Alligator mississippiensis: one gene and its partners. The protein of the gene in region 2 purifies or fractionates together with the protein of the main gene of each other region. This does not show direct contact. Links are inferred from orthologs where the notes say so. Each region holds a gene or a part of one and is shown on either strand. Other genes may lie near its edges.

Region 1 (10,068 bases), on a different chromosome or scaffold from region 2:
ATCAGGTATTAGACTGGTCTAATAATTGGTCTAAGCACCTGGTTTATGCAGATGCTGTGGAGCCGGGTCAAACTAACGCACTGCTTCTTCCAGTAAAGCACGGTTTTGTTTTAACAACTGTAAGCAGCATAGTTATTTACTAGATTTCTCTTTTGGCATCTGAATTAAAGTTCTAGAGATTTCAGATCTTGGTGAAGATAATAATGGTTTAATCTCAGTATGCTTATCCTCAATGTTGTTCCTTCTCTAAATCTGATTTCACAAATATTTAAGTGGGGAAATTAGCTTCACCTCTATAAAATGCAGACCAGATCTGCTTACTTGATGCTTGCATACTGCCAGTCTGCCCACTCTACACCTCATCTGAGCCTCCAAGAGGACAGAGACTTGTTAATTTACAGCAGTGATTCTTTATCAGGGTGCTTTGAGATGCTTTCAGGGGTGCCACACAATGTTAGCACTGGTAGGTGTGCAAACATGATTCACAAGATAAGCCCAGGAATTTAAAATAGGAATCCACAGTGTTAAAAACACTGACTTACTGTGGTCTTTCTGAGTTCTTTGCAAGACAAGTTGCTGTTATTTTTCCAAAGTCAAAAAATGAGTGAAAACAAAGAGCTGGCATTTTCCAAAGGGTGCCCCAAGTCTAAAAAGGTTGAAAACCATTCATATACCATATCTCCCAAAATAGGCATGTCAGAACTCCTAAACTCTTGTGTCTTCTCCTAACCAAATATTTACTCCATTTTTTCCTTTGTACCAACCAAGCCAGCTGCCACCTTCACCATTGAAGTCATAAAATGTACATTTTAGATTTGTTATGCACTCTTCTAATCTGACAACCCCATGTTGCTGAGACATGGTTACGCATTTCAGAAACACTGCTTTATAGACCTTTTAATAGTCAGTTTCAATATTTTCAATTACTATGGAAAGCTAAAACTGGAGGGAACAACTATCCATTATCCAGGCTAGCATGATGGGAAGCACAACTTACCTTATCAAGTAGGCTTATACCAGCACTTATTTAGAAGGGTTAAAGCTGACTGAATTTCTAATTTAAGAGCCAATTCATAACCCAGAGAGTCCACTTCAGAAAGTACATAGTTAACAAATTGTTTAGCTGAAGTTCCTTCAATTATTTGTTTGCTTAAAGTGTTTTAAGGCATCCTTGGAAATAGTTAATACCAAATTCAGAAATGCCAAGGGACATCTTCTGATAAATGGTACTGTGTATTACACATACTGAGAAGCTTCTTAGTCTCTCACTGAAGATTACAGAATCTTCCTAGCAATTTTAGTTCTGAACTCATGACCTGCTATATTTTACCTCTGTACTGCACGCACTTTCCAAAGTAAATCTGAAGTAGCAAAACTCTCACCAAAAAACCCACCAAAACACCGAGTACTATATTATATTCATAACCTGTATGTCTAATAAAAGCCAACTGTCAGTTTTCTTTGCACATTTTAACATTCTACTTAATATTCAAGTATAGATATATGTTAACTGTGCATCAAAAATAACACCTTTTCTGTTCTGATTGAGGTTTATCTTAGTGTGCACTAAAAGCATCTTCAACAAAGATTTAACAACCATGTTACAATGAATCAGCCTCAAGTGGCAATTTTTAGTAGCAACAGAGTATATTTCTCATCTGTCATTTCTTTTAATACTCTGAGACTTCACTACACTGATGTTAATACCAAATCACTGTCTAACATCTGTAAATATATATCGAGAATAGTGCAGATCATTAATTGATCTTTTTGTTTTGCATTAAAAGTGATAACCAATTTTGAGGAGATGGCCCATTTTCCTCATCTGGAAGGAAGGTAACTGCCAGTGAATCCTCTTGGCTGTTACTATTACAATCCTCCTGGAGTGAAAGTTGAGTTTTTCCAGATGGTTCAGCTGAGACCCAGGAACAGGAAACTGAATGCAAGCTGCCTGCACGTAATACAGGTTACTGCTACCAAGCAGCCAGGTAAATTTATTCTTACTGAATAACATAGGTCATGCTCTGTTGCACATGTGGCGACAACGTCTCATCCTTTTTCCTCAAGTGCATATTTTCCTCTACAAAAAACAAAATACTCAATATTCAGTTGAAAGTGAGAGGCTGGCAGAAGCATCATGTGTCATAGTTTCCCTTAAAATATTCAAAACCTCTTTCTTATGCCTTTGTCAAAAAGTTTAAATTACCAAGTTGGGGGGGGGGGGGGGGGAATCAAAACTTTAGTGAATTCCAAGAGTCCAACCAGCATGTTGCCTAGTCGGTCTACAGATAAAGCATTCAGCGCTCGAGTAACACACCATATTGTTAAAGTTTCTACATCGCTACTGCCATGCATTCAGAATGTGTGAAAAAGCCATGCAAAGTTTATAAAGCAGATGGCACCACAAGCCACGATCAAGTTTTTATACAATTACTACATTCTCGATGGAGTTCAGTACGCAAGCCTGGTAAAGAGGCAGAAATCCTGCACATGCTCTTGTTCTCTCAAATTCCCCATTTCATCTGTACAAGTTCTGAATACAAGTATTTTGTCAACTTCAGGAGTGCTAACAGTTGAGTCAAGTGGGCAGAGTCAACGCACCCCTACGAACTGAATGAAAGTATTAAGTAGGAAGCAGTACCAAGGATGGCAAGGGAAACTCAGGTGTGATGCCAAGAACACGCTTTGGCAGCTGCAATTTCAAAAAAAGAAAACAAATAAATGAAGTGATCAGATTTTTTAAATCACTGCTCCACTTGCTAAACCCTGCGCCAGGCTGTTGTCAGCTCATAAGAGCAACTGAGCGTTCAGGGCCAGGCCCGTTTTCCCAGGTCTGTAGAAGGCGCTGTGTGGCAGCTCCTCTCTGTGCATCTGGGGCCCTTCCCCCTCTCTGCAGCAGCCTTACCCGGTGTAGAGAACGCGCCCCCTACTGACTCCAACCCTCATCTCTCCTCGCCACCGACTTGGCTGCGGTGCATTTTGGGTGGGGGCTGGTATTTTTCTTCCATGGCCAGATACCAGAAGCAACAATACAGATTGAATGCAAAGAAACAGGGGGGGGGGGAGAAAAGAGAGAAAAAAGAAAAAAAGGGACCACACACTTAGGTGCATTTATTCTTGCAAAGCCACGGCGCCTGCAAGCATCACCTGAGGCAATCTGAAGGGGGGCATGGGGGAGACCCTGCAGTGGCAGAGACAGAAAGCAGCATCGCGGGGCTTTATTTCCCCTGCCTTTGTCTGAGCAATGGGCTGCAGGAGGTGCAGCCCGGGATGGAGGGGGTGGCTGGCTGAACGTTACTCCATCTCCAGGCACCGGCCATGAATCGCGCCTTTTCCAGCAGGCAGCCCCGGCTCCATTCATTGCAGCGCTGTCCGGCCTCCCTCCCTCCCTCCCGCGCCCGGCCCGGCCGCCGAGCCCACCCCGCCGCCGCCGCCGCCGCAGCCCCGGCCATTCACGCCGCACTCGGGGCACCTCCACGCGGGCCCGGGCAGGGAAGTCTTTGCAACATGTGTGCGGAGGGGGGGGGGGGTGGGCTCGGACCCGCGCGCACCTACCTGGCTGGGGCGCTCCTCGGCGGCGCGGGGCGGGCGCGGCAGCAGCACCGCGGCGGGGGGCGGGGGTGCGCGGCGCTGCCTCCCTGGCGCCGCCCGGGTCCCTGGGCGGGCGGAGCGGAGCGGAGCGGAGAGGAGCCGGCGGCGCGGGGGAGACAAAGGGGGCGGCGGGCGGGCGGGAGGCGCGTGTCTGGGGGGGCGGCGGGCGGGCGGGCAGCGGGCGGCGGCCCCGGGCGGGGGTGTCGGGCGGGGGCGGGGGTCCCGGGCGCCCTGCAGACAATACAGCCGGGTCCCTCCTGCCCAGAACCTGCCCTGGCCAAGATGGCGGCCGAGAAAGAGCGGAAGTGACGCGAGACTCTCATTAGCATACGGGACTCATTGTCCGGCGGGAGGGGAGGGGGCCGCGCCCCGGGGGGGAGGGGGCCCGAGCCCCGATGGAGCGCGGCCCGCGCGGGCCCCATCCCCTCCCCGCGGCGCGGGCCCTTTAAGGCCGGGGTGGGGTGGGGGAGCGGGTTACATAACCCCGCCGGAGGTAGTGAGGGGGAAGGCAGGGGGATTCTCGCGAGAGAGGGGCGGCGGGATCTGCCCCGGCTCCGCTAGGAGGCGCCGCGCCCTGCGGCTTGGGCCGGAGAGGGAGTTGGCGCCTCGCGCTTATCCCTCCGCCGCGGCCGGGACTACATCCTGCCCAGAGGGGCCCCTCGCTCCGGGGCGGGAGCACGAGTCCGGCGCACACGGGCCACGTGACGCCCCACGTGACCCCGGCGGAGCGCGCACTCTCGTGCCGGGGCGCTGGTGTGCGGAGGAGGGGGGGGGCGCTGGTGTGCGCGCGCAGGCGGGGGGTGGGGCCGCCCTCACACCCGCTCCCCGCTCGAGGGCCCGGGCTGGGGGCCCAGCGCGCAGCACGTGGGGAGCCCGGCTGTGCCTCGTCCCTCACGAGGCGTGAGGGAGGAGGGACAGTCAAGAGTCCTTGTAGGGCCACAAGGATAGGGTGTTATTTCAGAGCTGTAGCGCCTGGCCGGCCGGCCGGCCCGCCCTCCCTCAGCACTGGGGCCCAAAGCTACAGGCCAGGTCACAAGGGACGAAAGGCCTCCATTCGTTTCAAAGTGCTGGCACGCTTTCACAAGGCAGAACAGCTTGGTCTGTCCCGCGCACCACGTGGCGGGGGATGTCAGTTTCCTGAAGCCCTCGGACCCCAAGGGAGCGACCCGACAAGTTCTTCGAATCGTCGTTGAAAACGTAGAAACGCTTGCCGGAAGTTACTTGTGCTTCACGAGTGTTAGGTCCCGTATTTTTTTTAAATGCCTCCAATTTTGCAAATGCTGACGTGGGGCGAGGTGGTTCCTGACTCGTTCAAGGAGGCGCGAGCTTTCGTAGGACGCAGCCGACTTTGTCAGATGCTATGGACGGACTTTTAAAAGACGTGGGGTACTAAATGAAAAGGAATAAAGCCATTTCAATATAAAGGACAGGGAAGGAGAGGAAGAGAGGAAGCTTTGCACAAAGAGTTATGTTCATGTTGAGATAGGTAGTAAATACTACAAACTTTACCTTGGTTAAGACTTTTTTTTTTAATTTAGATATTAGCAGTTACTCTGTCAATGACTGCAAATCATTCCAGAATTTAAACATGCATTTTCGCAGTAAATTCACTTTAGTGAACATAAGAAATAGTAAGTCATTAAAAGTATTTCCTTTATAACTGAACGAAAACACACAGGACTTATTTGTACCAACAAATTTGTTCATGCTGTTTACTGCTGTTGGGCTTCTAGAAAGGTGAGGTTGAGTTGGTCTCAATCGTGCAACCTGGCGATGCTTTTGCAACTTTTAAACAAAGTAAAATAGTGTTTTGACTTTTACATAACTTTAGTTTGCTTTGCAAGAGTACGTGTTTATAAAAACCCCTTATAGTGCACTATAAGGAAATACGATGAACAGTATTTATGATAAATGTAGATCAGTCAAGATCAGTTAGATGCAAACAGCTAACGGGCCGGGGCTGGACTCGATCTTCCAAGGTCCTTTCCAGCCATAATGTCTATGAAATCTATGAAACTTCACGTCCACTTAAGTGTATGTAAGAAGAAAAACAGATCTACAGAAGCTTTATGACATTTACGTTTTCCCTCTTTTTTTTTTTTTTTCTCTTACTCTTATACTCGATCCCATTTTGGCTATTACTTGCTGATATTGCAATACAACAGATGCTATTATTTTCCTAACTTGGCTCTAGCTGGTTAAAATTTTGGTTTTCCTTTTACAGCCAATTACAATCTTAGTAGTGGTTTGCTGTCTGCAACACATTTAATACAGTATTACTATTCACACAGTCTTTCCCCTCACCCCTAAAAGAAAAAAACAACAACTTTACATTAGATTGGCTATCAGAGAGGATTGTGGTAGAAGAATAACCTCTATGGCAGCTACCTGTTCTGAGCAGATGCTCCTAAGTAATGGTGATGATTTACATTGAACAGAAAAATACCTAACTGAAGAAAATGAATAGTAGTTACAGATAAATGCAATTGAAGTCGCCAAGCATTAATTTAGATTTGAGACAATCCTCGGGGTATTTGGGTGCATTTAGAAACTGGAGGGCTGAGAGGGATGTATCAGTAAACTAATTATGTTATGTGCCATTATGCTTAGGAACTGTAGGGAGATTATTACATGTAACATATAAATGGCTATTCTTTTATTTGTCAGTTGAAGTCATTCCTTAAAGTATAATAGTAACACTTCTCTTTCCAGGAATTTTGAATGGTATTCCTACCACATGGAAAAAAAATGAAGAAAAAAATCTGTGAGAGTATCAAAGAAAGTATGAGAGCACCAAAAGAGGAAAGCTTTGTAAATTCTGATATTCAGAAACTTTCTTAGAATCTGCATTAGTAATTATTTATGTAGCACTGCCAATGGATACAGCTTTTATAGCAAGTAAAATCCATAATAAAAACATGAAAAAAACGGAAAGTTCCTGGACCACAGAGCTTGCAGTCTGAAGGCACGTTTGTTTCAGAAAAGCATACAGGGAGAGCTGCGTGAACTGAAGAGGAGCAAGATTCATGAAACAAAGGAGGAAGCAATGGAAAGCAGAGGTAAGATTTTACAAATGCTTTAAAGGAAGCTGTTCCTCATGTTAATGGTAATATGAAAATGCAAGTGTGTATGAAGGAAAGAGTGTCTAGAGAAGCACAGCTCAGAACCGCAGAGTTGTGACCCAGGAGACATGAGCTTTCGAGGCTTGAAGTCATATTTGCATCACTTCTATTTTTGGGTATGGCTACCAGCCCTGAGCCTTCTCTAACTACTGTTGAGTTTCCCCCAGTCACCTGCAGGCCACTCTGGCAGCTCAGAACATCTGGAGGGCAAACATTCAGTTCTCTTTTCCCTGTCCTCCATATGCACCTATACTATGGACATTCCAGCTGTCATTCCAGTCCCCTGACTGCACTGGGGTTGTGTGGCTGAGCTCCTGGGCCAAGGCAGCAGGGTGCAGAGCCCCAGCCCGTCTCTGCCCTGTGGGGGACACATGCCCCCGTGCATTCCCCAGGGATGTGCATTGCTGCTGTGAACTGTGCCTCTTCCCCGCACCTCTGGACAGCCCACCCCTGCCCGGGGTCCCAGTCACCCCTACCCCTGCTTCTGCCCCACTCCCTCCCTCACCGTGGGGGCCTCGATCTCCTCCCAGTCCCTTCCCTCTCCCCCACCCCTTTCCCTACACTTAAATGTCTGGATTTTCCCAGCTGGTGAGGGCTGGATCAGGAGATCGCAAGTCGGAATTATTTTGACTTTGATATTCCAAGTCTCAGAATGGTTTTGCGACAGTTGGCATTACTGTCAATGGAAGAGATTGCTAGGTCTTGAGCTTAAGCTTTGATAGTTGCAGCAAAGAGCAAAGGCTGAATTTTTGTAATATTGTATAAGAAATAACACATGAGAGAGCTGGTCTTGCTTCCATTGAATTCAGTTGGAGTTTTCCTCCTAACTTCAGTGATAGAAACAGTGGGTCAAATGCTTAGCAAGGTGGAACAGAAGGAAGGAGGAGTCAAGGTTGACACTAAGGTTGCAACATGATTGGGAACATGAGTAATGGTGTTTAAGATGACCTGCAAAGATGGGAGAAGGAGAAGTAGAAAGGCCATCTCCCCATTTTTGACACTTTGTAAGGCAAAACAGCAAAGTTGACAAACATTTTTCCTCTGCTTGCTTTTTACATGAAGAAAACAGATGTTGTCCCCTGTTGGAAACTATGAGGTGAGGACCAGAGAACAATGAAATTATAGCATCACAAAGAAACTGAAAGTTGAGTAACAGACCAGACAAGCTGTTTAGTCAGGACTTGTCAAAACACAGAAGTCACATGAGCTTAACTAAAGGTGTGATGTTCTACCAACCTAGTCAAAGATTATAAAAAGTGCGCTGGTTTAATAACGGTGCAATATTTATTCTCCCCCTAGATTAAAAATAATAAAATGCCTATCCCTAGGCTTTCAGCACCCTAACATTAATTATATGATAAATGCAGTTACAATAAGAATTAAAATAATTGGTTTCACAGGAACTTATCCAGTCAATCAGCCTACCTGGTTCCTTCATTATAGCGGGACCATCCCTTCAGCCATGTTTAAAACATCTCTCATGCAGCTGTCTTTGGCAGTGTAGTCAGAAAGTCACCAAATTCACTCTTTCAGATCAAGGACCAGGGACTCGGAGAACTTCTCACCATTTTCCCCTTTCTTTTATAATGAAGAATACCAGCTCAGGTGCCCCTTATGACCACAGCAATGGCATTATGGCCTGACAAGAAAGGCAGTCCGTCAGATAGGGACACATGCAATTCTTCTACTTAGATCAATGAACAGTCAGTGTAGATCCCACAATAAATGTGCCAATTGCTCACAAGGAGGTGCTGTATTTTGTAACAGCTGTTGTTTTTTGCACCAGCTTCAGTCTCCAGCCAGTTTAAGGTGCATCCCATGCAAGCCGACAAAAAATGGAGGCCAGCTCTCTCGCAAACAGGTATCCCTAAAAGTCCAAAATGGCAGACTTTAGGGCTTCTGTGCCTTTTAAATCCATAGACAATCGTTAATCTTAATAAGGCTTAATATGTCAAGCATAGGCGCCAGGTATGTTGGGGCCCGAGGCGTTGGGAAGAGGGTAGGGTGACCACCCTGTCCCTAATTGGGCAGGACTGAGACAGTCCCAAAATGGGAACTGGTCCCAAGCTGCATGACTCCAGGCTGGCATTTGTCCCAGACTCCCAGTATCATGCAGGGATCCAGAGTTCCAGCCTGCAAGGAACTGTGGGGAGCAGGACGCAGGGGGCATCACATGCATGTGTGCATACATGCACGTGACCTGGGAATATAGCCTCAGGCAGCGGTGGAGAGCTGCTTCACCAGCTGCCTACAGGTAAGTCTGTGTGTGTGGGTGGGGAGGGAGGGGACACAGATTGAGGCCCCCATGGTGAGAAAGGGAGTAGAGCAGGGGTTGGGCCTGGGTACACTGCCCAGGCAGGCTGGTATATGGGGCCCAGGGACAGGGCAGGGCTCCCTGCTGCTGCACACACTCCCAGGGAGGGAGGAATGGTGGGGGTTCATGCCCCCCAGATTTGTGCACAGGGCAGGGGTGGATGCAGATGCAGGCTGTCTGCTCCCTGCCCTTTTGCCAGCTGCAGGCTTAGGGCTTCCTGCCTCACTGCCTTTCCCCTGGCATTTCTGCACCGATTTCATCACTATGGCAAGGTGGCCCCTGCTTGTCTGACAGTGGGTGCAGCAGCGTGGAGTTGTGCCCCCCGCTGCTGCTGTGGTCAGCAGGGGGCAACTCACCATGGTGGTGCAGTTGGTGTGGAGCTCCTGGGAGGAGGGCAGCAGGAGGGGGAGCTCCAAGCCTGCAGCGGGCAGCCTGCATCTGTCCCCACACCCTCATGGGCATCACTCAGCTCTGCTCCAGCCACCAGGGGGAGGGCATCATCTTAGGTAAAAGTAAAAGTCTGTACCTATGATGTCAAGTGCTAAGTCAAAGCAAGTTTCACATTGAAAAACTGGATAAAAAGTTACTTTCTATGGGGCTTAGCATCCAAGTTACATTTGAAAGAAGAGTTAAGTTCCTAACTTTGGTATTTTTCAAAAGTAACTTGGGCACTTTTGAAAATATTACCTTTGGTTCATGGGACACCAGATGAGATCTTGGTCACTTCTTCTTAAGTTACTATTCCATCCATATCATTCTCTAAAGGCTGTTTTATAGCCTCCATCTCCATCCATTTCCTACTGGACATCACAACTATTAGTCTCTATTAGAGACTATGGGTTATTAGAGAGACTCTGGGTTATTAGAGAACTATTAGAAGCTATGGGTTAAATGCATAGGAATTTAACTGGCCTCTCAATCTTGGAGATGGCTGATCCTGAACAGAAAAGAAAGTTTGTATTGTCATTAACTGAATCATGGTTTCCCCTTGTCTATCTAGCACCTTTCAGATACAGTCCATTCACACTGTGAATTTATTCA
Region 2 (10,265 bases):
GATACACCAGTGGTAGGCAATCTTTTCCAGCTCTGGGCTGGAATAACCCACCTTGAATCACAGTCAGGCAGGTCTGCAGCTGGCTTCTCCCCACAGCAGTACACAGAGAAACACCCATGGTCCCCACTGCCAAAGCCCCACATCTGCTGACCACATCCAGACTGCAGGCCACACATTGCTGACCCCTGATATGCAGCATTTTTATTTCCCTCTCTGTACAGAAATGTTTAATGCTTTTTTGACTCCTACAAGGCCCTCGGCCTCTGCAATATCTTGTGACACTGAGTTCTACAGATTAATTATGTATTGTTTAAAGTAGTATTTATCTTTAGCACTTTAATTTATTTCCTCTTCCATTTGATTAACCCAACCGCTTGTTCTTGTATCATATGGAACGCAAGCACAAGTGCCCTATTCAACTAACACAAAGAAAGTCTCATGGACCCAGAGGAACAGACATACACCTTCAGCTTCCTCCATACAAAATTAAGTTTACTGTCTACCTATAAGGACTTTAACCATTTTTTATTTTCCTTCAGCCTGACGAAGGGCGTGTGTGCCTGAAAGCTTACAAAGAAAGATGATTTTTTTGTGATTTCTTAGTTGGTCTAATAAAAGGTATCATCTCTGAACCAAGAGTTCTAGAGTTTTGTGTTCCATTCACCTCCTTGGTATTTCTCTTTTTTTCTATATTTTCCCTCTATTGCAGGGCTGACAAGCCACGTGGGGTCCTCAAGACCCCAGTTGCACAAGTAGGGCAGCCCAGGCAGAGCAGAGCAGCACAAGCACCCTTCCCCATCACCACATGAGTAGCACACATGCCACATGAGTATCATAAGGCTTCCCCCACCCACACTGCCAGCAAGGTTGGGCAATGCAAACTCCCCTTTGCCCCGAGTTGCTGTCATGTTAGCAGCACCAACCCCCACCGCACCACTGTCCTGTGGGCAACACAGTAGCTTCCCTCCACCTCCCCTGCCACCTAAGCCCTTCCACTGCACCAGATGCAAGCTAATCAGGGCTCCTCCCAACGTGCTGCCCTGACCTAGTAAAGGCTGCCTACACTGAACCTCCGCAAAGTGCTCCCCACCAAAACTACAGGCTAGAATCCACATCATCTAGCCCCTTTGTCACACTGACTTGAAAGGCTACATTTGACCAGATAGATAACTTTCCTTTACAAAAGCTATTCTGATTTGCTTTCATATTAAGGACTTAAGTAGCTGTTACAGTCGATTACTATTTTGACTTATCTACTCAGAAGTTATACCAATGACTCATCTACAGTTCCCAGGATGATCCCCAGGATTCTCTTAAAATAAGTACACGTATTTCTTTCCAATTCTCCCAATGCTAGTAATAACTTTTAATGGAAGACTGCACACTTCTATTAGCAGAGCAATCCACAAGTTCCCTCAGAACTTCTGGATCTATACTATCTGCTCCTGCTGACTTGCTGCTCCATGATGCATTCTAACACCTCTTGTTAGCGCATCTCAATATCTGACTTATTTATCTGTTTATTAATAAACAGATGAAGTATGAAACTAGTATTTCCCCAGTATCTGCTGCTGTAAAGAAGAAAGCAGCCATCTAGCTTTTCTCTAGATAGATTTTACTCTCAATTGCTCCCTCAACTCCCAGAACACCTAAAAAGATTCTCCTGAACCTTCAATTTTGTATCTGATACACTTGAAAGCATATATACTCTTTGCTTTTTCCATCCCTTTTTAGTTCTTCTAATCCCTATATTTCACTGACCTATTATACACTCCTTTCTTCACTTATTTTCCATTTTGAAAGAGACAGTGGTTTATTTGGAATGACTTCATGCACCTTGCTATATGGCCATACTTCCCTGAATTAAAAAGGGAAATGTTTTCCTTCTGCACACGTAAGCATACTTCAAGTCAATCTGTCATTTGTCCCTCCAGAACAACAACTGTTGAAAAACATTCCACACTCTCATGGAAAAAAGCCACAAACAGTTAAAAGGAAATCAACACAAGCCCTACAACTACAGAACAGCAGCCTCAAATAAAGCATATTATTCTACTAGGTTCAGCTGACTGAGCAGAAAAAGCGGGTTGCACAGCAGCGCTGAACTTATGACACTATTCCCTTTGAAAAAATCAGACAAGGCAACTAAATACATGTTTTAAGCTTAAAGATCCCTCGTTAAGAATGTTTCAGCAACTGTTGAAGAACCTGTAACAAGAAAACCCAAACCTACTTTATTGGGAGTAAATCAAGCTCTTTTCCTGTAATGTAGCATTAATTATATATTTTTTTCCTTTCTAAGTGAATTGGTTATCCAAGAGAAATACAACACTGAGCTCAGTATATAAGACCCAGGGTTCCCATCAGCATATTTACGAGATTTGTAGCAAATGCACCAGTATATAGCACTCTGATTGTTAAAAAGGAAAAAGCCATGTCACATGCAGCAGCAGCCAAGATGTGATACAACAGAATGTTTTTAAACAAATGGAGGGAGACCTCAATAAACCAAAAGCAGATAGTCTCTAATTCCCAGGGGTGGCTGCATTCTACCAGAAAGCAAAGTTGTAACTGCACCTACATGAAAATTTATGGCAACAGAAATCAGCTGTTGATAAGAACCCTATTCTCAAGGTTTCCTCGGTGATGCAACCCATCCAGCCACCCTCCCAATTTTTATGCCACAATTTTAAGGATCTGCCTACACCAGTGGTGCTCAACCTCTGAACCACAGGCCAAATGTGGCCTTGCAGAGCCATCACATTTGGCCCACAGAGCTCCCCATGGATACAGAAATTTAGTGGTGAAACAGAAATGGCCACCCCCCCCCCCCCGCTGCCAAATTTCCATGGCCCCTTCCCTCAACACAGCCAAATCTGGGGTGCGCCATGCCTCCTTCTCCCCACCTCAGGGTTGGGTCTGGGCCACACTCCCTACCTCGCCCACCCACCTGAGTCAGGGTTGGGTCATGCCCCACCCCGGCTGAATTGGGGTTGGGACACACCTACTGCTCCTATCTTTTGCAGCTGGGTTGGGGGCAGGTCGTAACCCCTTCCTCACTGTCCTTACATGCCCCCACAGGACTGGATTGGGCAGGGCTGTTTCCTGGCCCCCTCTGTGCAGCTGGATGGAGCCACACCACACCTGCCCATGAACAGACCAAGTAAGGCCCATCTGGCCCACCAAGGGAAAAAGCTGAGCACCACTAGTCAAAGATATGACTGCAGCTCATGTAGCTGTATCTGTACTGGCTTTAAGCTAGCCACCTCACATGCCAAAAAACAGTGCAACCCTGACAGCGCAGAGTTCAATGCAGATGCAAAATCTACCCACAAAGTTAGGTAAATAGGAGATGGATCCCTGCTGGCAGCTTAAAGCCTGCATTGGTATGTTTACATGAGCAGTAGTCACACCCGGGGCTGCTGCAGACACACCCTTACTGCCACAGCTGTCACCAAGAGCAAGAGGTGAGGCTGGACAGCATGAGGACAGGAGAGCCCCAATCCTTCTGCCCCCTCTGCCTGCAGAAACAGTAGCCCCAAGTCACAGCAGCACTCCCGAGCCGGGGGGCAGCCGGGCCACCAGCAACTCACTGAACGTAGCGACCTCCAACCCGGGGCAGGAGCCCGCTTACCAAGGGTGTGTGCCTACGCCGGCCCCCTCCCGCCCGGGGCCGCCCCGGCCTGGCCGCCTCCAACCCCGGGCGGCCCCGGCGTCCGCCCCGCCCGGCCGAGCTCTGCCAACACGGGCAGCCCCGTCCCGCCCCCCGCTACCTGCGGCCCGTCAGCCCGGCCCGGCCCCGCCGCGTGTCGTGTCGGGCCCGAGCGCGCGGGCACGGCTCCTGCCTGCCCGGAGCTGGCTGGGACCTCTACGCGCATGCGCCGACCTTCGGCGCGTAGCTTCCGGCGCCGGCGCGCAGCCCGCTGGGACACGGGGCCCACTTCCGGCCGGGGAGGGTGGGGCGGAATAGGCGAGACCCTAGTAGCCACAGACTCCATACCTACTACGGCCGGGCGAGCCCACGGGACTACATCTCCCAGAGTGCAGCGCAACACGCCGTTCTCCTCTCCAACCCGTTTTCCAGCGCCAGGCCTTGGCGACTCAGGGCTCCCGCGCATGCGCGGCGGCGTCATTGACCGCCCGGCCCTGACCCGGGGTCTAGCGGCGGGGGCGGGGCCGCTGAGCCAGAACTGCTACCTGCGCCCCTCGTCACCGGGGGGGGGGGGGTGCGAGAATTACCGTATTTACACGAAAAGTTCTGGGGCTGAACGATAATTTTTGAGGCATCTCATTTATGCAAGAGATGCGAAACCCAAATTGTTCTTGGGGACTTGTAGCTGACTTTGCGGCTTGCCGTCAGCACTTTCTTATGATGTCTTGCCTCAAAGGAATGCATCAACTTTGATGATCCAGTTCCCACTCCTTCACAAGTATTTGTATACTTATTTGCATATTTGTTCAGTGTACGATAGTTTTGCAGCAAATGTGATCATTGTGAACTTCCAATGCGATAATTTCATATTTAAGACCTGACAACACTGCCCTCACGCCTGTCTTTGGCAGGGGCAACTGACATCATAGCGTATGGCGTCCTCTCTCAACAGCCTGGACTGCGTCGCATCCACTGGCTGCACGGCGGGTCACAGTGCCTGCCTGAAGCTGTGCGGCTCCTCTGGAGGAGGGGAGAGGGGCTGCAGTCCTTCCAAGGGGGAGGATGTTTTGCAAAGGACCTTCACAAAATCCTTGGCAAAAACGTGCACCTTGCATTTGCCTTTGCCTCAGGGGCACCAGTTGCCTGCAGCACGAGGGCTTCTGTCCTCTGCCATGAAGTGTTTCTGAGAGCGCTGCACAAGGAAGCAACACCAACATGGTTTAACTCAGTCTGGAACCATAGCGCTACAGGACTGCACCATGAAAGGGAGGTGCCCATGTGTACAAAAGAGGTGTGGGGTAAGTGTGACATAGTTAAGTTAGGCCCAACATGACACTTTTTTTAATTTCTCAAGTATTGTAAACTCTATCCTACAAATACCTTTTTAAAAAGTCCACCCAGATGAATCAGTGTTTTTTGACACTGTTCTTTGTGAAATCCCCCTCCCCTGACATCCTAGAACAGCAGGGGGAAAAGCTAAGGAAAAGGCAGAGGCAAGGAAAGGAGAAAAAGTACAACCCAGAGGACTCAGCAGTCTACAGAGCAGGAACTACAGGGCCCCAGGGACAGGGGGCTCTACAGCCGTTGCTCCAAGAAGGAAGAGAAGAGTGGCGTTTGTCAACTCCCTGCTGCAGCAGACAGAGGCACCAGCTTGACTACATTTGGGGTCCTGAGAAATGTGTGTCTGCCTCTGAATTCAGGATGTCACAGAGAGACTACCAAAGCTCATCTATCCTTTAGACCACAACCCTTTCCTGCCTGTCCTTGTAGATACCAACAACACTGCCAGGAGCAACAGTGAGCAGTGTCCTTTAAAGATTCCTGAGGCTCCTGGCATGAGACTGAGCACAAGTGATGTTTTCATTGATACTCCCTGGAAAGGCCCAGGAAGGGACCACCATGGAAATAAATGTGTGGTGAGATGGTGGTGTTGGCATGAAGGCTTCAGATTTTTTAACAATGGATGGATGTTCTGGGGAGGAGAACTGCTATCAAGTGATGGGGTCTGACTGACCAGAACGGGAAAGAGCATCTTGGGCATTGTCTGGCCAACCTAGTAAGGATGGCTTCAAATTAATTATGGGGGTGGTGATCAAAATCTTCCAGTAATAGAGCAAACGATCCAGAGGGGAAAAGACTGGAATAAGCAATTCAACTCTGGGAAAGGTGCCAGAGAGCCAAGGGACAGCAACAAGTGGTGCAAAAAAGAAGCAAGTACATCAAAATGCAAAATACATGTACACACATGCAGGAAGTGTGGGAAATAAAGAAGATGATCTGGAAGCTGTAGCCTGTGAAAGAAATATAACCTGATCGGTATCATAGAGACCCGATAGGACAGCTCTTATGACTGGAATATCACATTGAGGTTTGCAATTGCCACCAAAGTAAAATTGTAGCCTCTTGTTGGACTGGATAGTCTCCTTTAAACTCACCTGCCACAACTTAGATGGAAAAGGAAGGAACCAAAGATGGACACAGTCCTGTGAGACAAAGTTGGTGTTAAATCTACAATTTAGAAGACTGGCTCCTCTTCACAGGGCTCCCCTATTCCCATCCCCTGTCCTTACCACACCAAATGTTTCAGCAGTAATCTCATTAGGTCCCCTCTGTGGGAGCCTCAGTCTCTGGGTTGCCTTGACTGATTTCTAGGCAGCCGGTTTCTTGTTCTTGGTTGCTTGCCCCATTATTTCCCACACGGGTCCCAAGCAGACCATCATACAGCTTGTCCCTACCCTTATCCTTCAGGACACGATTATATTGGGCCAATGCCCCAAACTCATGTTCACGCTCGGTCTCTTCTTTCCCCTCCTTCATGTCTCTGGATTGCAGTCCCACACCCACCGGACTCAGACTCACTGGTTTGGATGCTCCAACGACCTCATCCTTCCTGCTCCGTGGGCAAGTACTTCTTCAAAATACTCTCCTGAGTCCCTTAGGTTGGTTGCATGCCACCATTGTCACTTTGTGGTCCCACGGGTCTCCCTCCATGCCATTCCCTTCACCCGAGGAGAGCTGACTGCTCAGTCGGCTCTCTTTTAAATTCCCGCACTGATCAGCTGTGTATTCAGCTTCAGTGTCCCATTCACTGCTTTGCTGGCTGTCACAGCTGATTGCTTTAATTACCATCTGGGAATTCCAGCATGACTTTTCTCCCATTCGGGCTCACCACTGCAGTAAGTTTAGCTTTTTCCTTTGTTCTTTTGGTGCTTTGTGACCGGGTAGGCTTACTACCCTGTGCCCTGGTTAGGGGGAACAAGACAGAAAAGTAGCATGCGTTTGGATGAACATGAAAGGTGAAAGATGCAGCACTGATATAATGATGGGGATTTATTACAAGCTCCCAAATCAGGAAGAGAAGATGAATGAGGCACTCTTCAAGGGGGTGATAAATCTATCCAAAAGCTATGGTATGGTACTGATGGGAGGCTTCAGTTTTCCAGACATCTGCTGGAGGCTGCAGTTTTCCAGACATCTTATTCGACCTGGAGGGATGTGGGCAGTGGCGTTCTGCAGGGCTCAGTCCTCAGGCCCGCACTATTCAACATCTTCATCAGCGACTTGGACAAAGGGGTAAAAAGCACCCTGTTCAAATTTGCAGATGACACTAAGATGTGGAGAGAAGTGGGCACGCTAGAAGGAATAGGCTGCAATTGGATCTGGACAGGCTACAGGGGTGGGCAGATGAGAACAGGATGGGTTTCAACACTGACAAGTGCAAGGTGCTGCACCTGGGGAGGAAGAACTAGCAGCAGACCTATATGCTGGGGAACTCCCTTCTCATCAGTGCAGAGGCAGAGAAGGATTTTGGCGTCATTATTGAGGCCAATATGAACATGGGCCGACAGTGTGGGGATGCGGTCAGGAAGGCCAACCATACCTTGTCATGCATCCACAAATTCATCTCAAGCAGGTCCAAGGAGGTGATCCTCCCCCTCTATGCGACACTGGTCAGGCTGCAGTTGGAGTGCTGCATCCAGTTCTGGGAACCGCACTTCAGGAGGGATGCAGACAACATGGAGAGGGACTGTCACGGCGGGGTCCTCGCGGAGGGCCGTGATCTCCTCAAGGTCCCTTGCTCCGTGTCAGGCCGGCCCAAGACACCCTCTAATTCTCGCCCGCCACGTCTTGTTGGTCAATATAATGTTGGGAGGCTGCCTTGTGTCTTCCCTGGGCACGGCTACTCGAGACCTCTGTCCCCGCGGTTCTTCCGGACCCCCTGGGGGTCTCCCGATACGGTGGGTGTTCCTTGGACACCCTAGCCTTATGGGCTATGTGTGGCTCCTACCAGCCCCTAATACCACGCCCCAAGCCTCGCAGATGTAATAGACGTTGTCCGGTCTGTACACCCGCTTCCCGGGCCTCCTCTCTAGTGTGGCCCACTCTGGGCTCCCTCTCTCATGCCCAGCCTCTTGCTGGAACTCTCATCTGGCCCACTCTGGGCCTCCCCTGCTGGTGTGGTTCCGCCCAGGGACTCTCTAGCGGGCCTCCGGTCCTATGGGCCAACCGCACGGGCACCCTCTCTGACCCTGGCTCACCGCGCTGCTACTCCCTGTCTTCTCGGGGCAACCGCAGCGCCCTGCCTCGGTCTGAGGGGTGTTACCGCACTAGCCTGCGGCCGGGCTCGCTATGCCCGTCTCGGGCTCCTCGATATGGCCCCGCTCTCTAGGGCTGCTCAGTATGGCGCTCCCCCTCTCTGGGGCTCGCCGTGCCCACACTGGGCTACTCAATAACGTACAATGGCGCTCCCCCTCTTTGGGGCTCGCCGTGCCCACTCTGGGCTACTCAATAATACCGCCCCTTTCCTGGGGCCGGGGTCTATGTTCCCCCACACGCAATCCGGGGTCTAGGTCCCTGTCCGCAACCTACGGGTTGCGCCCGCGACCCACTGGCCGCGCTCCTCGCCGCCAGCTGCTCACGCACTGGCATGCGAGCTGCGCCTTCCCTGGCGCTATGAAAATAATGCGCCCTCTTGGCGCTAGGGCACCCCACACTCTCTGGGGTCCCTGTGATTGAGGTTAACTGCTCCTCTCTGAGCTCCACTGAGCCCACAACTCTGCCCTGTAAATCTCAGGGCCTAGCGCGCCCTCACTGGCGCCGGGGTCTCACACTCCCCTGTGAGTCCCCGCTGAGGCCTCCTCCAACCCCTACAGCCTCACCCAAACCTCCGGGTGTAATATACAGAGCCAAACGTAAACTAGAGCCTCCTGGCTATAACACAAACATAAAGCCCCCTGGCTAACCATTGTGCCCAATCCTCTCAGGGCTATCATGAGCTGTACTTGCCCGTCGGGCTTCTCCCCATATCTCGGCCGAGGGAGCTCCTGCCTCTCCGGCTGCTGGCAGAGAACTGCCAGCCTGGCCTCAGCCCTGAGCTTTATAAGGGCCAGGCCCTGCCTCCTACAGGCAGCTGGTTCCCCTTGGTTGCTCCGGCAACCCGCAGCTGCGCTCATTACCTGAGCCAGCCTCAGCTGGGCTCGTTATGTCAGGCCAGGGCGCACTCACTCGCTCCCTGGCAGTTTCTCCTTTCCAGGAGCAGGGGCACCGAGGTGCCCTGTGACAGGGACCAAAGGAGGGCCACCTGCATGATCAGGGGTCAGCAGGGCAGGCCCTATGAGGAGAGGCTAAGGGGCCCGAACCTGTTCAGCCTCCACAGGAGAAGGCTATGGGGGGATCTAGTGGCCATTTACAAACTAGTCAGGTGGGACCAGCAGGCACTGGGGGAGTCCCTGTTCCCCAAGCACTACCAGGAGTGACTAGAAATAATGGTCACAAGCTTGGCAGAGGGTAGATTCAGGCTAGATATCAGGAGGCGCTACTTCACAGTCAGGGCAGCTAGGATCTGGAACCAACTTCCAAGAGAAGTGGTGCTGACTCCTATCCTGGGGGTCTTTAAGAGGAGGCTAGATGAACACCTGTCCAGGGTCATTTGACCCCAGTACTCTTTCCTGCCATGGCAGGGGGTTGGACTTGATGTTCTGCTCGGGTCCCTTCCAACCCTACCAACTATGAAACTATGCAACTATGAAACAACACAGTTAAACAATGTCCAGCTGGTTCCTAACTTGTGTGGAGGACAACTGTCTGTTCCAGAAGGCTGAGGATACAATTAGGGGCTCATCTACCTTGGATCTTGTCCTAAACAAAAGGGAAGAACTCATGGAAGATTCCAGATTCCTTTGGTGGGCATCTTGGAAGGAAGTGATCAGAATTCCAGATCCTGAGATGAGGGAAGCAAAGAGTGGCAAAACTAGGATGCTAGATTTCAAAAAGGCAAATTTCACCCAACTCAAGGAATTAATAGGTATGGTGCCATGGGAAAACAGCCCAAAATAGAAAGGCGGCTGGGAGCGTCTAAAGACCACATTATTGAAAGCCCAACAAGAAACTGTTTTCACATGATGGAAGCACAAGATGAATGGTAAGAGAGCAACGTGGCTTCTAGGATGCCTCAAATGAAAAGCAAAGCAAACAGGCAATGGAAAAAATGGGCAGGTCACCCAGGAAGCATATCAGAAAATAGCAAGAACCTGCAGGAACGAAATCAGGAAGGCAAAAATAAAGAATAAGCTGCACCTGGCGGGGGGAATTAAAGATAACAAGTAGGTTGCCC
Region 3 (10,375 bases), on a different chromosome or scaffold from region 2:
TAACAGATTCTCCATTAGAGGATTAATTTGACAAAAGACATTTTTACCACCTGCTCAAAGCTGATCATAAAAAATCCTAGAAGTTTGATAAATTGGCATTAATTTGATACAGTCTGATAGCATTTTAAGTTGTTATATTAATCACCATAGCATCTGGAATTTTTTCTCGACAGTGCCAATTCTGTTATCTATTCTGATCAAGAAGCGCTCTTTTTTTAAGTTACTGTAAGCATTTATAATCAACCTGCTTGCTCAAATTCATCTGAAATTTGTTGCACGAGGGGAGTGTCATATAATGCTAATGATTCAAACTGGGGGTCAGTTAAGTAAAAGGGTCCTGCAATACCATCCCATCTGAAAACAGCATTTTACAAAAATCACTAGTTTTTCAAACATTTTGTGTACACAGAACGTTCAAACTAGGGCCCTGACTCTCCCCAAACTCATCTCAGTCAGTCTAATCTCAATGAATGGCTATAAACAGCCCTGAGGGGAGACAAGTATAGTTTTTTAACTCCAGGTCTTTACCAAGCTGACACCCTTAAGAGTGAAATGCATGCATGCAGCTAGACTATTTACAGGCAGGCTATTGCCACAGAAACTGGGCAGCTCAAAATGACCCACATTTCCTTTTGAAAGTTTTTCCCCAAAACAAAAAACTGTCTTTCAACTACATTAAAGGGTTGCTGTGAATTCTAAGCAAACTCACAAAAGTGAGAAGCATGTAAAGAAAGTGAGAACTAATGACAGAAAATATAAAAAAAAATAAAGCAGGGCAACAATTTTGGCTCATGCTCTTCATCCATTTGCTGTATTGCTGTATTGCCTGACTGCAATAGGAAAAGAGCAAATCTCAGTGGCAGTTGGTCAAAAAGTTCCTCAGGCCTAATCGTCCAATGTAAACGAATTGTAACATTTTCAGATTCTTGGGGCTTTTCTGGTGCATGCTTTGGAAGTATGGGCAAAAGGGTTAGGATCAAAACAGGGAGCGGGAACAACAGCTGTGGGAGCAATGTCAAAAGCGTGGAGGCAGTTTCTTTGCCAACCTTTGCCTCTTCAGGCTGTGCTCCGGCACTGCTACTGAGGGACAAGCAAACCCTTAAACAGTAACTATTATAAGTTCAATATCCTAAAGATCACTTATAATTTGGATATACAAGGACAGTAATCAGAGCTCTGTCAAAGAGCAGTGTTTCCATAGAATTATCTTCCCTATAAACCCTCAATGATTAAGGGGTCACCCTCAAAAGGACCTTTACTCTCTAGGAGCTCAGCTCTGTGAAAAGGAATGACAGCTGGGCCCCTTTCCTTCTAGTGACTTTTCTTCCTCACAAGCCTGTCAAGCCATCTCTCTCTCCTTCTTCCTCCTCCCTCAAACATATACCCACGTATCCTCCCTATAGCTTCTGCACCAGACCATGGGAGGGCCCTTTCCCTCCACTGCTCCCTAATCAACAATAAGAGCCCAAAACTGCCCACCTTCTTCTGCTGCCACCAACAATGGGGAGGGAGAAGAGAAAAAAAAAAGGCCTTAGGCCGACCTCCTTTTCCACCTCAAGAAAGTTCCAACAAGGCAAACTTGATCCCTCAACATCTGCATCACATCACAACCGTTCCAACCAAGCTCTTCACCCTTAAATACAGCAACACCACACACTGGCTGCAGCTGCAGTGCATACTGGAATTTATCTTTGTCAAACATGAGCAATAAATATCACTCACATCTCTTACTAAGCCACTCTTACTGACCCCTTCCAAGTGGCTGTGCAGGCTACGTAACAGAAAGGCAGAGAAGACACCTTAGCTGTGTAATGCTTGGTTTTCAGTAATTCTGAGCATGGCTGTACCATGCCAATGTTTTTGGAAGGGTATGATGCACTGCAAGACAACCACAACTCTGCACTGGCCAAGAGTCTCTATTAATGATTTTTTATGTGATTTTATTAGGTTAGTATTGATGACTTATCAAAACAGTGATCTACTATTAACACTTCCGAAACTGATGCAAAATGATTCACCTAACACAGGGGCAGGCAATTATTTTGGGCGAAGGGCCGCTTACTGAGTTTTGGCAAGCCATCGAGGGCCACTTGACAGGCAGCCAGGGGCAGATAAATATTAATTTTCTAAATCTTTTATGGGCCCCGTGGGCCAGACAGAATGGCCTGGCAGGCTGCATCTGGCCCACAGGCTGCATTTTGCCCGCCCCTGATCTAAGAGGACTCTGACCCCCATCTTTTTCAGCATTTATTATTGTCTTCTTCTCTGCTTTAAAGACTTCTGGCTGTTGCTTGCCTTATCACTTCTACCCACATCAAAGCAAAAAGAAAGCAACCTGACCATTCGCAAGCTCTTTACCTGTAAATGTGGAGGCCCCATTGGTGGAGGAATCCCTCCCGGAGGTGGCATTGGAGGCATGTTCGGATCAAACGGAGGACGTCCAAAGGGCGGCCGAGGTGGCGGAGGTGGACCGCGCATCATACCGAAAGGTGGAGGTGGACGCATAAGAGGTGGCGGGCCTCTCATAACGGCATTTGGTGGCGGAGCTGGACCACGAAATCTCAGTGCCTGCTGCTGAGCCATTCTGTGTCAGGGCAGAAGGAAAAAATATATTTTTGTTTGCTGAATAACTATGGGATGGTCTAAAAATCGTGTGCTGCTTGTATAAAAAGTGAAATTAGAAAAACCAAAAGGATGTGACAAATTTAACACTCAGCGACCAGGATTTAAAGTGCAAGTGCTTTAAGAGTTTCCCCACCCTGGTCTCACCATTTCAGGTTCACTACTCTTGTGTATAATTTTCTTTTTTAGTCAGAAAAACAAGTAACATATGGATCGGACGATTTCAGAAGGAGCAGGTGCTGTGCAAGCTTCCCTCAAACCGATCTGCCAAGCACCTCAAACGTGACCTGCTATATACCCATGCCTATAAACACGCGCATCCTGGGCTCTTCGAACAACAGCTGCCAATTGCACCCAGGGTTTTATTTCTTTTGTAACGTGAACAAGCATCCACCAGGGACTCGGACGAGACCACCTACATCCTTTTCACTCGTGACCCAAGGCAGGAGTCAAGCCCTGATGTGAAGCAGCAAAGGGCTGAGGTGCTAAACCCGCGGTGCCACCCAGCCCAGTACGCAGGTACCTTAATAAGTGCACAGATAGAGGAAAAAAAACAACGTTCACCTTTGCAACCAACAAACGCTCTTCTGACGCTCTCAGGAAAACAATTGTGCCCACCATTTAGTGCCAGTGCAATACCGACGTTGGCACGGAGACTCAAAAAAATAAAAATAATCTAAAAAAACCAGAGGTTACAATAAGGCGCACGGCAACACGCACCGATTACACCGCGTCTGATTTCAGTTCGTCGAGCACACACGGTACGTTATCGGACGGACGGCGGTGCTCTCCCCTACCCTGCGGGTCTTTCAGAAGAGGGCAGACGAGCACCTGGCCGGGGCTGTCCCGGCCCAGCGCTTTCTCCCGCCCGGGGCAGGGGGTCGGACTCGATCTACCAAGATCCCTTCCAACCCGAAAAAAATCAATTAAAAGAAACTCTAGCTGAGTGGCGGAGTTGAGGCGATGGCCGGAAGCGGGGCCCGAGGCAGCATCGCCCCAAGCCCCAGCCAGGCCCGGCGGGGGAGGGGGAGAGGGAGGGGAAGGGGGCAGGGCCCGGGAGGCCACCTCCCCCGAGCGCCCAACGGCCGCGGGACCGGGGGGAGGGGGGAGGAGCGCGGAGCCCCTCAACGCGGCGCTACCTGATCTCGTTGTTGTAGCGCTCCGCCGCCGCCGCCGCCGCGTCCCCCTCGCCACCTCCACCCGCGCCGCCGCCGCGCTCCGCCATCGCAACCTCGCCAGCCCCAGCGCCGCCGCCGCCGCCGCGCAGGCCCCACCGCGCTCCCATTGGCTGGCGGAGCCGTCACTCGCCGCGCGCGGGGGCGGGACCGACAGGGATTGGCCCGCGCGCCCGCCGACTTTGAATGAGGGGAGGCCGACGAGCGGTGATTGGCTGAACCCCACCGCCTCACGGCCTCCGCGACCTCGCGTCACGTGGCGGGTGACCTCGGGACGCGGCGGAACTGAGCTCACGTCCCGCGTCAACCAATCCGAGGTAAGGGGAAAGGAAAGAACCCGCGCTCCTCCAGGCCCGGCGACTGGGATTGGAACCAATCAAAGATCAGAAGGCGGCCAATCAAAAACCGGCGTGATCAGGAATTCCTAACCAATCCCGGGAAGGCACGAGTTCCGGGCCGCCGCCCCACCCCCCAGAGCCTGGCCGCCTGCCAGCCCGGCAGGAAACGAAGTTCTAATTCGGTAGCCAATGAGGGGCTGTTTGGATAGGTGCCAGCCAATCAGGCCGCGTTCGGTGATGCTGAGTTCCATCATAAGGCCGGGGTGTTGCGTGGCTCGTGTTTCTACGTTCTAAAGCCTGGGGCTGAGCGGGCGGCGGCACGTGGGTTGGGACCGACCCAGGAGCCGCCTCTGGCTCCTTTCAAGGCACGGCCTGTGCCCTGCCGCATACCCCCCACCCCCATTAGATAGATGGGTGTAATCTATTTTATTTATTTATTGGGAATATATATAAAAAATTCTCCTCCTAAGAGCATAGTGGCCACTAATGTGTTGAAATTTATTCCCAGATTGCAGGGGTTGTCTTTGCCTACATGGGACAGGCACAACTTGGTTAGTTTAGCTGTGTGGTAACAAGTCTTACGAGAAACAAGCTAATAGTTGAGGTAAGGAATGTTGCCTACCATCAATTGAAAGTGATAGGCTGTAGCAAATCCTTGTGCACTGGCATTGCTGAGCCCTGAAAACAGGAATTGTCCAGACAAAATTAGATCTTCAGAGGTGTCAAAAACATCCCTAGACAATTTACTGGGTATTGCGTGAGTTAACTGATCCAGGGCCCCTGGTACTGACATTTTGCCAATAGGAACCAAAAAAGTTGTTAAATATAGCAATGAAATCACCAAGGTGGCAACATTGCCATGCACAACCACTCACTAACTCCACTGGCTGCGTTAGCGTAAGCAGAAGTTTGCCCACACAGCAAGGCGCTATGCTAAAAGTGTCCAACTGGGCAAACTGGAATCCTGTAACTTTCACAATGGGACAACTTATGTGGAAATAAACACTTCCAATTCTCTACAGTCTCGTTCTGAAGAAAGCCTATTTATAAAACAGTTGTTTTTCCCAATATCCATCAGGTCATACTTCTCCCCACCATTTGGCCCCTAATTTTCACTGAGCCAGGCCCTGAGTGACTGGTGTTTTTGTGAGAGTCCAAAACCCCATTATTATATGGCAGAGATTTTCAAAATCGCCTTGAAACATCATTTAAGGTTAGGCTAGTCAAAGATTTTAATAAAGTTAACAATTACAAGAAATATTTAAGTAGAACTGGGCCTTAGCTGCAAACCGGGGATGTATCACTAAAGGTGCAATAGCACCTCGGAGCCTACATCATTAATGAGTCATGGACCAAGAGCTCCTTGTAGGCTTTTTACAAAACTGGTATAAAAAAAGAGACCATCCTTTTTTCCAAAGACCATAAATAAAAGTTTCCTTAAAGTTCTAGGAAATGGGATTACCTAAGACTTCTTTCCAGTTTACCAGCTGGGTCTATTCTGCACTTTGCTTCTGTCCCAGCCAGAGACGGCTTGTCGGTCTGCTAACTTTGGGAAGGGCTCTAACAGAGGGGTGTGGTGGTGAGGGGAGATTGCTTAGGGAAGGGAGAATTTTGAGTCATGACTCCTTCAGATTTTGCTTCAATATCTTTGCCTTTGCTTTTCATGCACAGTATAGATGTCAAAGATGACATGCTACTTTGCTGAAGGTTTATCTGGATACAAAATATACAAGGTTCCTTCCATACAAGCTCTTTGCAATTCTCCTTTCATTCACTAGGAGATCCCCTTGAACAGCAGTAGTGTGAAATGATCTCAAGTTTCAGTCTGTTCAGGTGCTGAAAAACTTCAGGGCCCTGGTTTTGATTTAACATGTATGTTAGGAATCATAATAAATACATTCTTAGAAATATGGTTCCACTTTTATGTCATCCTTCATTTAAAGTTCCCAAATTGCATTATAGATATTAATTAAACCTTGTAATGCCCACGTGAGGTGGATGTTTTTATATCCATTATTAAATTACCTTAACCTTAGGCAGCTTTTACAGCCTGTCTCCACCTTATTACTAAACCAGGCATCAGATCAGGCTTCAGAAGTTTTTCTTGGCAACCATGGATACTAGAAGAATAATTAGAATATTTAAAATCAGAAATGAGAAAGTAAGAGGTGTGTAGGTGGTAACAAATAAGCATGTCATGCTAGGTGTTATCTATTGCTTTTTATATAGACTGAAAATTCCCATGGGACAAAAATCAGTATCCTAGAGAGATGCCTGAACCAAAACTCACTTCATCCAAGTAGCCTTATGCTTTGAGGTGGTCAGATCATCTTGGGCCTATCTGATGTGCAGTAACATTACTGGTGATATAAGTAGCAGAGTGTAGGGATTGCTATGGTAGGCAGTGATAAATGGACTTAACTAGGAATTAAACAGGCAATGTCTCAAATGAGAACATTCAAGAACAAAGACACAACAGTATAGCATCGGAAAATTCTGTGCCAGGGCACAGGCTTTTCACCTCTTGGGGAAACTTGGGTCATTTCAGTGAGGTCTGATGCTTAGAACAGAAGACAATTTAGGCTATAGAAATCCTGCCTTGGTGTGGTGGCTAAAACCCAGCATGTTACCCTGTGTCTACAAGGTCCCTCTTTCCCACTATGTCCTATTTACAGCTCCCAGTCATTTGGATTATTAGGATGTAAGATTCTTTCCTATGTGGCCTGACGTGTAAAATTTCTAACTGGAAAAAATATTTCCCCAGCTCCTTTGATGTTGCTAATGAATGAGCTCTTTTTAAGTTATTCTTATGGCTGATAATTGTACAGTAGCTTCTGGGCAAAAGTGTCAGTAATGTGGGCATGTAGACTGGCCACTAGCATCAAATATTCATGCAGTCACAGATGGGAGTCTACAGTGAGTTTGCACAGAAGTGGAGTCTGTCTCACTTGCTCTTTGGTGAATGTATCTAAGCATCAAAAAGAACTTGTGATTTGCTTTTTCAGCTACATTTTATTAAAATATAAAAAAAGGAAGAAGTCCTTTTGCCAACTGGCATTTTGTGCAGAAATAAGTTAAGCAACTCAGAAAGCAAGCATCAGCCATCCCTCTCATCACACCAGACTGCAACTGGCCTCTGAGTGGATGCATAAAGTTGGAAGAAAGGCTACAAAGAAGTTTGCCTCCTGCCCCTAAATGTTATGGTCCAAGGGCAGGGAACTGCCAGTATTAGAGCCACTGCAGCAGTGCTCCTCTAGCAGTATTAGCTATTCCTACAAGGAACAGAGAGAAGGCAGGGCATGGCCTCTAGGCTGGCTCCACTCTGAGGAGCAAAGCTGGTGGGAATTAAAAATGCATCTTCTTCCTGTGCCTGGTTGCATGGGAGGCATTGCATTCTTAAGTCCAGGGAATTGTTCCTTAGGCTGGGTCTACATTACAGACTTTGTACTAGTATAACTACGTCTGTCAGGGATGTGAAAAAGTATGATGTGGTGACACATGACTGCTGGTAGAAACCCCTTTTTAGCAGTTTAGCCTGTTTTGCTCATGAGAATGGGTTACTGTATGGTTCAAACAGTAGAGCTTCATGCTCATAAGGAGTGCTCATTCAGTTTAGTGTACGGATATTTTCATACCAGTGTGGATTTGGCCTTACTTGGGTCCCTACTTCAGGAGAAAGTGACAGTGTCTGCTGATAACTCATGCTGCAATCTTGCCTGCAGCTTGAATTTCTGCAAATGTATAGCTTCCTCCAGCACCACTTAGTGGCTAAATACAGAATTGCAGATTCCCATAAGGTTGAATGTGGAAATTCTGCCGTGCTGATTGGTTTGTTCTGTCTCCTGATAGCACCTCACTTCCTGAAAGCCAGAAGATGTTAAGGTGCCTTCCTGCCTTCATGGTTACAGTCAAACACACATGAGTTATGTGGGCAAAACATCACAGAGAGACAGGTGAACAGGACTCCTGTGCTAAAGCCAACATAGAATAGGGCAGAAGGCCAATGAAAGACCGTAATAAGATGTTGCACCTCCTTATTCATTGGGGCTTTGAAATTATTAATTGAATGGATGCCACATGGTGTTGTGAAAGAAATTCAATCTAAGTTTTAAGGAATTTTTAATAAAATACCATTTTTGGTACATGACCTTGTCCTCACTTTTAGTTAAACCCAGCAAGAGAAAGACCACTTCACTCCATGAAGATGATAGAGAGAGCATGTTATATTGCTTCTGCATCACTGGTGGGTGCATAGGCTGGAAGGACCAACATGAGGGTAACAGTCTGTAGGCATGTTGGCAGAACCTTCCACACCAGTGAGGAGAAGGAAATCAGTGGTAGAAGGAATACAAAGCTGTTACAAAATGTGGTCCATTTACATTTGTCATTTATTGCATAGTGTATTGTTGGCCCCTCTTGTCTATTTGGCATTTAAGTTCTTCGGGTCAGCTTACGTCTTCCTCTTTATTTGTACAGCACCTAGCTTATTGTGGGGTAATGCACAGAATAAACAAGAACAACAAATCTGGATTGATTCTTGGTCATTGCACTAAGTTTACAAGCTGCTGTTTACATGCCACTGTCATAGCAAGAAAAGCCTAACTGGGCATGAATTTATCTAAACTACTAAAGATACTCTTAACAAGGAACAAGAATACATGGATAATCCATTCAGAAGAACTTTAAATTCACACCCTAGCTATTTCCAACTAATTCACTGTGTAGAGAAACCCACAGTTCAGAGAAAGGAAGAAGAATGCAGATCAGCATATAGCTACCTTACAAACTGTGGCCAAACAGCCAGTCGTTTTCAGAACCAGCATAATAACCCATTGATACCGCCCATTTGTCTCCCTGCTGGAAAACAGCTGCCTGTGTTTTGGTAGTGCAGCGCAGTTATAAATACTGTCCTTCTTTCCATCCCAAATTCTGTCATAGAAGGCAATGAATCAGCCACCCTGAATAAGATACTGGCATGCTGAGCAAGTTAGGCAAGAAGTAGGTTTCCCAGGAGACTCTGCCATCAGGATTGCCTGAGGATGCAAAGGATGCAGTTGGCTTTCTGGCTGCTACCAGGTCCATGGAATGTGCCCCGTGACTGAAGCAATGTACTTGGGGAATTGGTGCATCGCATGCTGCCTTATGCAGGAACTAGGAGTAGGCTGAGCCTGAGGCAAACCACGTCGACTTGGCAGAATTCCTCCTTTAGCCTCATGTTGGCTTGTCAGGCTCATCATCCAAGAACGGTTAAGCAAACGATTAGCATGGTGCCCAGGCCACCTGCCCTCACTATATTCTATTAGATTCTTCCTTTTAGAGTAAATCATTTTTTTGTTGAACCAGTATAATTGGGAGAATTAAAATCTTGAACCTTTACAGTCCTGTAATGTTAAAAGCTTATGAGTTCAGATGCCTCTTTCCTCCATCCTCACTCCCTTCCTTTCTTCAAGATGTTTAAATCAACTGAGCCATTTTCACTGCAGACAAGAGCAAAGCCCCTTAACGTACTCAGAATTTTGGATACTTTTTGTAACCAAATTCTTACTAAAATGGCAGGCAGTTGATACTGGGAATGCTCTAAAATGCCTGCAGATGGTTTGCTTTATCGGATACATTCCACCAATATTGATCAGGTATCAAGGACAGATCTAGATGCTGCTGCTACTTGGCCAAACATCTATTTTATCTCTGAAAAAAGGAGAGAAGTCTCAAAGCAGTGAGGAAAGCTCCATAATGCATGTGTGGGGAAGAAGGGGAAGTAAAGGCTTTTCTACAAAAATGAAGAGCATGTAAAAGTCTCTCTCTTCTCCTTTCCCTCCTTGCTTCTTTCACCATCAGCCCTCTACACTCTCTCCTACTGCAGGTTTATACACACATTCCTCCTGTTCTCCCATCAGTATGAACCCCTGACATTCTCCAGTCATTACAAAGTGAGAGGAGGACAGGGAGCAGGTCTGCCCAGTGGATGGCACCTGCAGAAGCTACTTGAAGCCGTACTTGAAATCACTTCTGAAATGTAATCTGCAGGCAGTGTCTGAGTGAAGTTTAAACTGTTCCGTAATCAGATTAGGCTAATCTGAATCTAGAAATGTTCCTGGATTTCTTGTTAATCTGTTACAAATCATCACATTCCTAATTTTTGGGTATGGACTAAACCAAGTCTTCTGAACTGGTACATCACTGGGGCTGGGGCTGAGAAACAAGGGACTGAGAAAACAAAACAGCTGCCACAGTTAATTG

Evidence for each region.
Region 1: the proteins of KPNA1 (region 2) and ADNP purify together in Homo sapiens (co-immunoprecipitation; 3 studies listed by BioGRID and IntAct, with this or other methods). This does not show direct contact. The link is inferred for Alligator mississippiensis from reciprocal best matches to the Homo sapiens genes KPNA1 and ADNP.
Region 3: the proteins of KPNA1 (region 2) and TCERG1 purify together in Homo sapiens (co-immunoprecipitation; 3 studies listed by BioGRID and IntAct, with this or other methods). This does not show direct contact. The link is inferred for Alligator mississippiensis from reciprocal best matches to the Homo sapiens genes KPNA1 and TCERG1.

The regions. Positions count from the first base shown.
Region 1 is NC_081832.1:12,679,633-12,689,700, reverse strand, and holds the start of ADNP (activity-dependent neuroprotector homeobox protein), read right to left. Parts: upstream 3,870-10,068; 5' UTR 3,556-3,869; intron 2,745-3,555; exon of another isoform or gene 2,562-2,744; intron 1,989-2,561; exon of another isoform or gene 1,788-1,988; intron 1-1,787.
Region 2 is NC_081824.1:238,040,630-238,050,894, reverse strand, and holds the start of KPNA1 (importin subunit alpha-5), read right to left. Parts: upstream 3,884-10,265; 5' UTR 3,774-3,883; intron 1-3,773. UniProt on the Homo sapiens protein: Functions in nuclear protein import as an adapter protein for nuclear receptor KPNB1. Binds specifically and directly to substrates containing either a simple or bipartite NLS motif.
Region 3 is NC_081832.1:64,409,250-64,419,624, forward strand, and holds the start of TCERG1 (transcription elongation regulator 1), read right to left. Parts: upstream 3,870-10,375; 5' UTR 3,848-3,869; coding exon 3,762-3,847; intron 3,299-3,761; exon of another isoform or gene 3,187-3,298; intron 2,585-3,186; coding exon 2,359-2,584; intron 1-2,358. UniProt on the Homo sapiens protein: Transcription factor that binds RNA polymerase II and inhibits the elongation of transcripts from target promoters. Regulates transcription elongation in a TATA box-dependent manner.